2 linked regions of the Caenorhabditis elegans genome follow. The protein of the gene in region 1 interacts with the protein of each later gene in a pairwise test. Each region holds a gene or a part of one and is shown on either strand. Other genes may lie near its edges.

Region 1 (2,795 bases):
GCGGTAGGCTGATTTCAAACTTTCAAGCAAAAGAAACGTATAATACTTTACAGCAATTCATTCCAACTAATCAAATTCTACCATCACTGTTCAACCCAGCTAGAAGAGCTCCTCAGCCAAGTTCATTCAATTTCATCCCATCTGCAAATGCAAGACATACCATCTATCGTCCACCGACTCCACTTGGATGGGGAAGAAAATGAATGTTTCTCTTGTTGGAGTTGGAACTAATAATAAAGATTATTGAGCATTTAGAAAGTGTTTGAATTATTCCAGTTTGCGAGAATCCTTGAAATAACCCAGCGAAACGAACAGCAATCATACTAAAGTACTCCAATAACCCAGTATTTGCTCAAAAAGTTGATAGTTACGATAGTTTTTAAGTAATCACAGAAGCCTCTCTTCGGACTAACCACAACAAAATATTACTCTTACAACAAGATGCTCACTCTTCTGAAACTACAGTAGAAAAGAGCACTTAGTTTTTCCAGGTTTTTTGGCGACCGAGTCTAGCAGAATTTGCAGATTACATTCCTGATCAAAAAGAGCAAGTAAAAACTTTTATTTCAAAAACCCCCAAGTATTCTTTCTACTGTGCTGGTGGAGCTGCAACTGGATCCTGGGCTGGTGGTGCAGTGGCGGCTGGGTCTTGTGCTGGAGCTCCAGATTGTCCCTTCTTGAACTCATAAGCTTCAATTCCGAGTTGTCCAACAGCGGCGAGCACGTGGATGAGCACGAAAAGTGAGAAGAATGCATGCCCAGAAACACACAAGAAGACGAAGATACCAGCAAGAGCTGGGACAAGAACCAATGCGGCAGACTTTCCACGAACTTCATTGTCAGACGAGGTAAGAACCTTGTTGATCTCCTCGCGACCATCAATGTTGAGAGCAATGTTGTGCGATGAGACGGCAACTGCTCCACCGAGGAAGATGAAGTAGAATAGCTTGGCAAGGAAATTGCAATCGCCGAGGGAACCGAACAGAACCATCAGGAGCTGCAAATATTTCATGATGTTCTATACATTCTGGAAAACGGGCAAAAGACCAAGAGCCAGGACAAGTCTTTAGAGGCCAGCCCTTAAAAACCAGGACCAGTCCTCCGAGGACCACGAACGGCACAGAACGAACCTCAAATGAAGCACACACGATGACGGCACCACGAGCGTAGAGCACGTACTTATTGAACTCGTACGGTGGGATTTGATCCATTGCAGAGAAGTAGTCGAGTGAGTAGAGAATCGGTGATTCGAGCAGAGACTGATTTGAATTACACATTTTCCGATCTTTTATACGGACGGATCTAGGGCAGATTGACCGTGGAGATAAAGAAAGGTCGAGGTTGAAGCGGAGAAAAAACAACCTTTATAAAAAAGTTTCTGGATGTTTTTTGGAATTATTTTTGAAATAAAGTAAAACATCACGGTCATCGAAAAAGAAATTAAAGAATTTCTAGTTCATCCGTTTCATGTAATTAAACAAGCTTTTTTAGTCACTTGAGGGAAGCCTTGTTCAATTATGAATATACCGATAACCGCGTGTTTTTAGCCAGCTGAATGCTTTCTAGTTGGCCTGGAGAATATATATAGGCCAAATCCAATAACGTTTGCGGAAAAAAAACATTTGAGAAAACCAAAACCTAATTTACCCTAATTTATAAAACCATAATTTATTTTGAAGTTAGTTTGCTGCAGGTGCGATAGCTTTACCATCCCTCACTCTGACTGCTTGACTTTTTGCACACATTAGAAAAAAAGGGGGTTAGGGTAGCTTTACCAAGGCGGCAAAGACAAAAATTGACATACTTGGTAAGCACTGAGTGTCTCTGCGATGCTTATATCCAGCGAGATAGATAGAAACATTATACAAAATCAATAGAATAGTCTTGAACAATGTAGAAAACCTAATTTAAAAATGAATGAGACTGATTTCATAGCCACAATGACTGAAAATAGAAAGACTCTTCCATTTTCAAGCACTTGCAAGTTGCAGGTAAGCTTATGGTCTGTTGTCACGTGACACCTAAGTTTTAATTGCCAAAAATAAATTCACAAAGATTCATTTACTAGTTTAATGACAGTTTCGTAGACAGATAAAACCGATCCAGTTCACAAAGAACCTATTTTCAGAATTTAGATAATTTTCACTTTTTCGAATTTTTGAAAATTCCCCGAAATTTTTTTAAATTTTGCTTTTTTTATAATTCTTGCAGTAATAGTTATGTTTTGATCATTTTCATATTATAGTGAATTTTCAACTCAAACGAATCACTTTGAAACAAGTTATTGTCAAAAAACTAAAATTGGATAGAATTATGGCCGGCACTGTAGAAGGCCTAGGGACTCTTGAAAATTTGTCAACCCCGCAGAAAACAATACTCTAAAAAAGTCCAAACATTCCATGTTCTCGCGCAGGAAAGTTGTTAATATAAATTATTCTTCACTAAAACCGATCATTTGTTTTGAGGGTGCTTTAGAGACGTTTTAAATATTTTTTAATTTACTGTCAAACAAGTACCCAATTTTTGCCACTAGGACTATCTATCCCTATGAATTGATCAAATTTTTTAAACGGGTAAATATAAATTTATTGAAAGTTATTTTTGATTTTTATTTCCAATATACAATTGTTATTACAACATTGGCAACTTGAAACAGAATAAGACACATTAGATCAGTTTTATCCAGAATTTTGAGCCAGAGCAACTGATTTTCATTAATGCGAGACATTTCTTGCAGAGTGTCACGAACAAGAAACGCAGTCTAAAATATATCAATTAATGTTCAAATCATGGTG
Region 2 (6,726 bases), on another chromosome or scaffold:
TTGCCGAATTTGCCGTTTGCCGCGCTCGCCATGTTTGCCGAAAAAAAATTTGCCGAATTTGCCGAACTCGGCAAACTTCGAAATTTGCAGCACACATCAAAAGTTGGGCAATACTATTTTGACCAAAATTATTGATTATTTGCCCAAAAATTTTGTAAAATGACACAATGTGTGTTAAGAATTCAGTAGTATTGGTTCTCCAAAAACATCAAATTTTTCGGAGTTTGTTAAGCACGGCAAATTTGCCGAATTCGTCGAACTTAGTACATTTTCCTTTTCATAATTTCATCAAAAGATATGAATTCTAAAAATAACACGCATTTTAAAATATCACGCACTCACATCGAGCAAAAGTACTCTCATCTTTTCCTACTAACCATTGACGAGAAAACGAGAAGAGCCACCGATGTTGTTTTTTTTTTCTATTTGCGAATGTTTACTAGTCTCCACTGTGATTGTGGTTAGCCATGAAACAAAACTGATAGGAAAAATAAATATTTAAAGTGGAACTGACCATTATTTATTGTCAAACATAAAATGAATAACGAGAAAAAAACTGGTCTTTCGCTCATAACAAGTAGAAAACAAACTTGGAGGTGATTGAAGATGGAAGATTTGGTGAAAAAAATTGCAGTATTAAAAAAAAAGATATAAAGCGTTGTCGGAAATAGGCATGTGTAAATTTTAAAAGAGGAGTAACGGTTATGGGTTTTTTTTTTGAAACGTATATACCCAAAATGTGCTCCTTGAACAAATTCCGCAATGAGTTCAAAAATGTTTTAAATATTTTTTATCGTGCTTCAAAATTTCCATAAAAAATGTTTGGCTTCTATTCCGTGTCACATTTTTCGTTAATTCAAAAGTTTAATTTCAGGCCAAAATTAGAGATTTTCGCTAAATTTGAGTCAAAATTTTGAACCGCCATAAAAAATTTTTGGAAAAAATACGAGAAGTGTCATATATTTTATTTATTCGTTCAAAACACCCAGAACCGTTACTCCTCCTTTAAGCGGAGAATAACAATGAAAAAAAGTTATTGTTGATGAGAGAGTGCGTATCACAATCAACAGACACACTATCGACCTTGATATTTTGAAACAATATAACGATTGTATGTCTGATTTTTGATTCTGATCCTATCAATTTTTAAAGATAAAAAAATCACACAAAAAAAAAGAAAAATAAATTTGAATGACGTCATTGAAAAGATTCTAGCTTTTTTGAAGATACCGAGAATAATCCGACGTTTGTGTGTAATCTTTCAATGATTTCAGAGGAATATGCCGTCTGAAACTGACTTCAGTGTATGTATATGTTGCCAACATAGCACCGAACCATGTCAGATATTGAGTAGTCTTCTTCCATTTTCTTCCAATTGTAGAGATAAATCCTGCGTAAACTATTGCTGCAATTACTTGGCGTCGAATGCGCATTCTGAAATAATATTATTCAGCATAACTTTTCAATATTGAATAATATCACTGACTTCAAAAGATGTGCTCTCGATCTGTTAAGATTCTCCAGATTTTCTTTCAAAAGGAACTTCTTGATACCCATTACATAATCGAATAAATACGAGTTCCAATCCACTTGGCGAACATCAAAGTTGTACTCCTTTTGATCTGCGGGTGTCATTTTCTCAAAGAATTCTGGCAGTCCACGTGCATTGAAACTCCATCCGCGAGTCGTGAAAAAGTGTAGAGTTTCAATCATTTTCCACACTTTCGAATACAGCTTCACATTGCTGATAAGAAATTTATGTAGGTCTTGTTCTCCGTCGTTTATGACTTACTTTTTTCGCTTTCCTATAAGACGAGCAGAAATATCTGAGATGGCAGCAGGTATATGATGCTTGATATAATAGTTTATAAGGAATAGTGAACGTGATTTGTGGAAATATGTGGATGGAACTGCGAAGCATTGCTCCATGGGATACTGAAAATATATTTAAAAAAAACATTAGAGTACTATTTAAAAGGGGAGTAGAGTTTGTGGGTATTTAGTTAAAATTGACTAAAACTGGCCAAAATTGACCAAATTTCAAAATGAGATTTCTCAAAAAAAATTTTTGACAAATAGTTTTATGAAGGCTCAAAATGTTGGAAAAAAAAGACTAATTTTGCTAAATTCTAAAATTTCGTTAACTTTTCTACGTGGTAGTAGCTTGAATGCCGTTTAAAAAATGTTTGCCGTCTATTTTGGGCCTTTTTTTTTTTCAAAATCGTCCAAACCGTTAGTCCTCCTTTAATGCATATTTTGGTAGTTCATCTAATGAAAGAAATCTGCGAATTTTTATATTTTAGCAAAATTTGGTTCTATTTTGATATTATTATTATTTACCCGCCATAAAAATTTTTGGAAATTTTTTTGTGAAGTCTCATTATGAAGACGTTTTGAACCAGTTTAAGTCTATTTAAGCTAAATACTTATAACCAGTACTCCTCCTTTAATGGAGATATTATTATATAAAACTCTGACTAACCTTTTTGTAGAATTGCTCCAAAAATAAAACAATATGACCCCAATAGAGAGGGTTCAATTCACCAGATGAACAGTGGATCACAGGAATTTCTGTCGTGCTGAAACAAAAAACAAAATTTTAAACAATTCACAGTTTGTTTAAAACTATTCTCACTTGATCGATGTTCTATATGAAGCTGACGCAATTATCATGTTAGCCACAATATCAACGGGAATAATATCAGCTTTTGATTCACTGCTCCCACACATGTTTGTCAAAACACCTCTTCCTACAGCAGCAAAGATTCCAGTCGGCCCATTGATATTGTCAGTCCATCCTGGAAGCGGTCCTTGCCACATTGCTCCTACAATCGAAGGACGAATGATAATGACTGGAATATCCTTTGCTTCGGTTTCGATTGTGGACTCTGCTAAAGCTTTGGTCAGAGTGTAGGTGTTTGGACGGAGGCCAAGTATTTTAGGTGTAATCTGAAAATGTTAAATATCGGGTAACTTTGGTAATATCAATAACGCAAAAAGAATTATTTTCATTTTAAATAGGATTTCTGAATTTTGTTGTTGAATTTTTACACTTTCAACATTTTTCAATTAATCTCCTTTTTTTCTATGAATATCAAAATAAAGTAGGGGTGGCAATGAGTTTTTTTTGTTCCGCATCGATATTTCTGAAAATCTGGGAATTTATGGTATCAACCACATTACCTGTGATGTGACGGTACTTTCAAATAAATATGTCGACTCCAGGTATTCTAGCTCGGAGCCGCTTTTTTAGGCTTCCACTCGATCTTGGTTTTTTGAAACTTTATTTTTAGATTTATGCGCGGCTCTCGCTCGATTTAGTGTATAATGTGATTGTATAACAATAAAAATCGAAAAAAAAATTAGTTTTAAAAAAGTTAAAAAAATTGCTTTGTCTATTTTTTAATCTATTTTTCGAATACATTTTTCGACAAATCTGTCCTCTTTCCTTGTACCGTGTATTCTCTATTCTCTATTAGAGCGGCATGCCGCACTAATTTCCCGGCCCTTCGTGACGTGCGCTCTATTAGAGACTGCCGTTCTACTGGATACTGCCGCACTAATTTTCGATAACTAATTTTCATATTGAAGTTACTACTTTTGGGAGTAGTAACCTCAAAATTTCTTTATAAAACCTCATATTTTATGGAAAAATTCATGAAAATTGGGTAATTTTGCCTCACAAAGACACTAAAATTCAATATTTAAATGAAAATTTATAAATTCATTCAAGAATGAACAAAAATATCTTCGAAGAAATCGAATAATTGATGTGGCTCTTGCACCCAAAAAAAGGGGTGCCGCACTAATAGAGACTGCCGCTCTAATTTTCGAAGAGCCAGTTAGAGTGCCGCTCTAATAGATACGCCGTACTATTAGATACGCCGCTCTAATAGAGAATATACGGTATATTAAATTAAGCAAAATCCGCACATAAATTTCAAACAAAAGTTTAAAATACACGAATCTGGGTGAAGCCTAAAAAATGTGGCTCCGAGTTAGGATACCTGGAGTCGCCAAACTTTTTTTCAGAAAAATCGATATGCCACAAAAAGTCATACATTTTGACCAAGGTCTAATTGCCACCACCTAATATCAAAACTTACTTTAGTCAATGTTTCGTCATCCATCCACGAAAGAGCGTCCACAAGTTTTTGTGGAGCCATTGGTGACTTGTAAATCTGTAAATTTCCAGAAATTTAGTTGATATTCTACAATGTTCAATTTTTCACGCTCACTTTTTCCGTTGTTTCAAACCTGTCGCAGTTTGCATATGCAGTTGACACATGCACCAATACCTTAAAAATACAATTTTTCTGAGACACGTTGTTTTCTCTGTTACTTTGAGATCTTTGATTTGATGACAGAGATCAATGATTCGTTTGGTTCCAATGACATTCATGGTGACTGCTGCTCTTAGATGCTCGTCGAACTTGACAGTCGCCGCGCTATGGATCACTACGTTGACCTGAATATTAAAAAGTTGGAAAAATTGAGAATTGTACTCCCTCACATTGTCTCGGATGAGCATCACATCTTCAGGATCCATTCCTAGATTTTCCACCATCATATCTCCACCGATTGCTTTCAATTTGTCAAATGCTTCTGGTTTCTCTTGGCGAATGCGATTGAAAAGGGGATCCTAAAAACTATTAAATAAAATTCCAAATATAATCAAAATACTTACATGAAGAAGACCTGACAATCTTTCTTGCGGATTCTTCCCTTTTCTTGTTCTTATCATCAAATAGATGTTTTGAATGTCATCAATAGTCCATAACAACTTCTCAACAATCACCTTTCCCAAAAACCCAGTACCTCCCGTGAGCAGCACGGAGCTGCCTGCATAGACGTCTCTTACAGAAAAAGCCATGCGTTTTTGTTACCTAAAACTTGGGTTTTAAATAATAAAATTTGCCTTTCAAATTGAAGAAGGATCAACGGTTTCTGGATATTTTGAACCTATAGATTTGTAATGTGCTAAAGTGAACAAAATTTGTAATAAAATTGCTCAAAAAAAATTGTTTAATTTTTTAAATTTTTTAATGCGGATCTTTTGTAATTTTTGGTTACCTATCGGCTTAAAATCTACTTTATCCTACAACAAACAGGAGCCCAACAACCGAAATAAGCAATAAAAGACGATAATTCAAAAAAGTCATTTTCAAGCTGCTGCGGCACGGAAAAGTTGCCAAAACTGGAGATTTTAGCTGAAATTGAGCCTTTAATTTTTTTTGAAATTTTGAACCGCCATAAAAAATTTTTGAAAATTTTTTGAGAACTTTCATTATAAAATTCCTGTATTTCAGCATATCGTAGGACTATACCAAAATAACCACAGCCATTACACCTCCTTTAAAAATGACAGGATGTTATACACGTGACAGGATACAAGAATTTTTTTTAAAAATCTGTTATTAATTTGACAGTTCACAATACATGCAAAATATCTATTTGAAAAAAAAACTTGTGGAGATGGGCGAATAGATGAAGAGCCAACAAAAAAAGTAAAGAAGGGGTATCACTCGACTATCAGCCGTTTTATCGCTATCAATACGCACCAAGAAAAACGAGAATAAGAGCCTAATGCAGGAATTGATAGACAGCCATGTACAAAATTTACAAATCAGCGAAAGCGGATGGCGTATTATGTCTTTCAAGTGTCGCAACATTTGGGAAAATATGATATGCTTTAAAAAATATATTATAGGAAATAATACTGCAAAATAAGCTAGTAGGGCTAGACAACAATTGTTATCACTTGGGAAATGTTGATAAATATACCTAAATTGAAATTTCAAATTTTTTGAGCGCAAAATTCAATAATTGTGCAAAAACCTACACGAAAACGTGACAGTTCGATAAAAAAAAACGAAAGCGAGAAATCGACGGGTGAAGCTGACTTTGAAATATATTTTATTTTGGAAACAGCCAGACTTTGACCTAGTAAAACCTAAAACGCTGAAACAATTGCACGGTTGGAGTCTATTGTGCTCAGCGAGCCCTGTCAAGAAAAGAGAAGAGGCGTGATGCACTTGCGACCTACGTACATATACCAGCGGGGACAATGTCCACACACTGATAAATGCCAAGTTGAAATTATCAATGACTGATCACGCCATACCTCTTCCATTCCTTAAACACATTGGGAAACATGAAAAGGCGGTAATTTTCACACCACGGAAAAGCTATTGAAAAACAATTGCAAAAAAAAAGAGTGAAACTGATAAAAAATTTTCCCTGTACTTTGCAGTGGGGTGTTTGGAAAAATCATTAATAATTAATTGCTGTTAGACGCAAAGTTTAAATTTGATAGACTCATTCAAGAAAACTCGTGTTCAGGTGCCGAAGACAGCCACGCTTTTGACAGCCGTTTGATTTCCAATTACGAAAATACAATGAATACGGAAGAGCAAAGTTTCAAATGAAATCGAAATGAAATCTGTCAATGTTAAATTTTGAAAAAACGAATATGTTTAGTTATCTACCTTTTATGACTACGGGCGAGCTCATAAAGTAGCCGTACCCAAAAATAATATTTTTAAAAATTTCTAGTTTAATGATTATTTAATCAAACAGTTTGAATACCTGTGTATTAAATACTCCACAATTTTAAAATTACATTTAGTTTTTTTTTTTTTTGATTTTTCCAAATGGAATGTGACATAGATTTTTATTCTACAGAGGGGTTTTTCACAAGCCTAAAAATACAACACTATTTCACAC

What was found. The genes of interacting proteins can lie anywhere in the genome.
Region 2: the proteins of F17E9.5 (region 1) and fard-1 interact in a two-hybrid assay, tested with the Caenorhabditis elegans proteins (one large-scale study listed by BioGRID).

Annotation. Positions count from the first base shown.
Region 1 is NC_003282.8:8,344,299-8,347,093, reverse strand, and holds F17E9.5 (DUF7087 domain-containing protein), read right to left. Parts: upstream 1,277-2,795; 5' UTR 1,212-1,276; coding exon 1,131-1,211; intron 998-1,130; coding exon 590-997; 3' UTR 548-589; downstream 1-547. Other genes in the region: F17E9.18 (Neuropeptide-Like Protein), read left to right, coding at 1-3, 54-203; lgc-5 (Neurotransmitter-gated ion-channel ligand-binding domain-containing protein), read right to left, coding at 2,609-2,761.
Region 2 is NC_003284.9:2,931,521-2,938,246, reverse strand, and holds fard-1 (Fatty acyl-CoA reductase), read right to left. Parts: upstream 4,887-6,726; 5' UTR 4,874-4,886; coding exon 4,688-4,873; intron 4,643-4,687; coding exon 4,514-4,642; intron 4,469-4,513; coding exon 4,343-4,468; intron 4,299-4,342; coding exon 4,239-4,298; intron 4,182-4,238; coding exon 4,107-4,181; intron 2,950-4,106; coding exon 2,636-2,949; intron 2,580-2,635; coding exon 2,483-2,579; intron 1,936-2,482; coding exon 1,793-1,935; intron 1,745-1,792; coding exon 1,487-1,744; intron 1,435-1,486; coding exon 1,212-1,434; 3' UTR 505-1,211; downstream 1-504.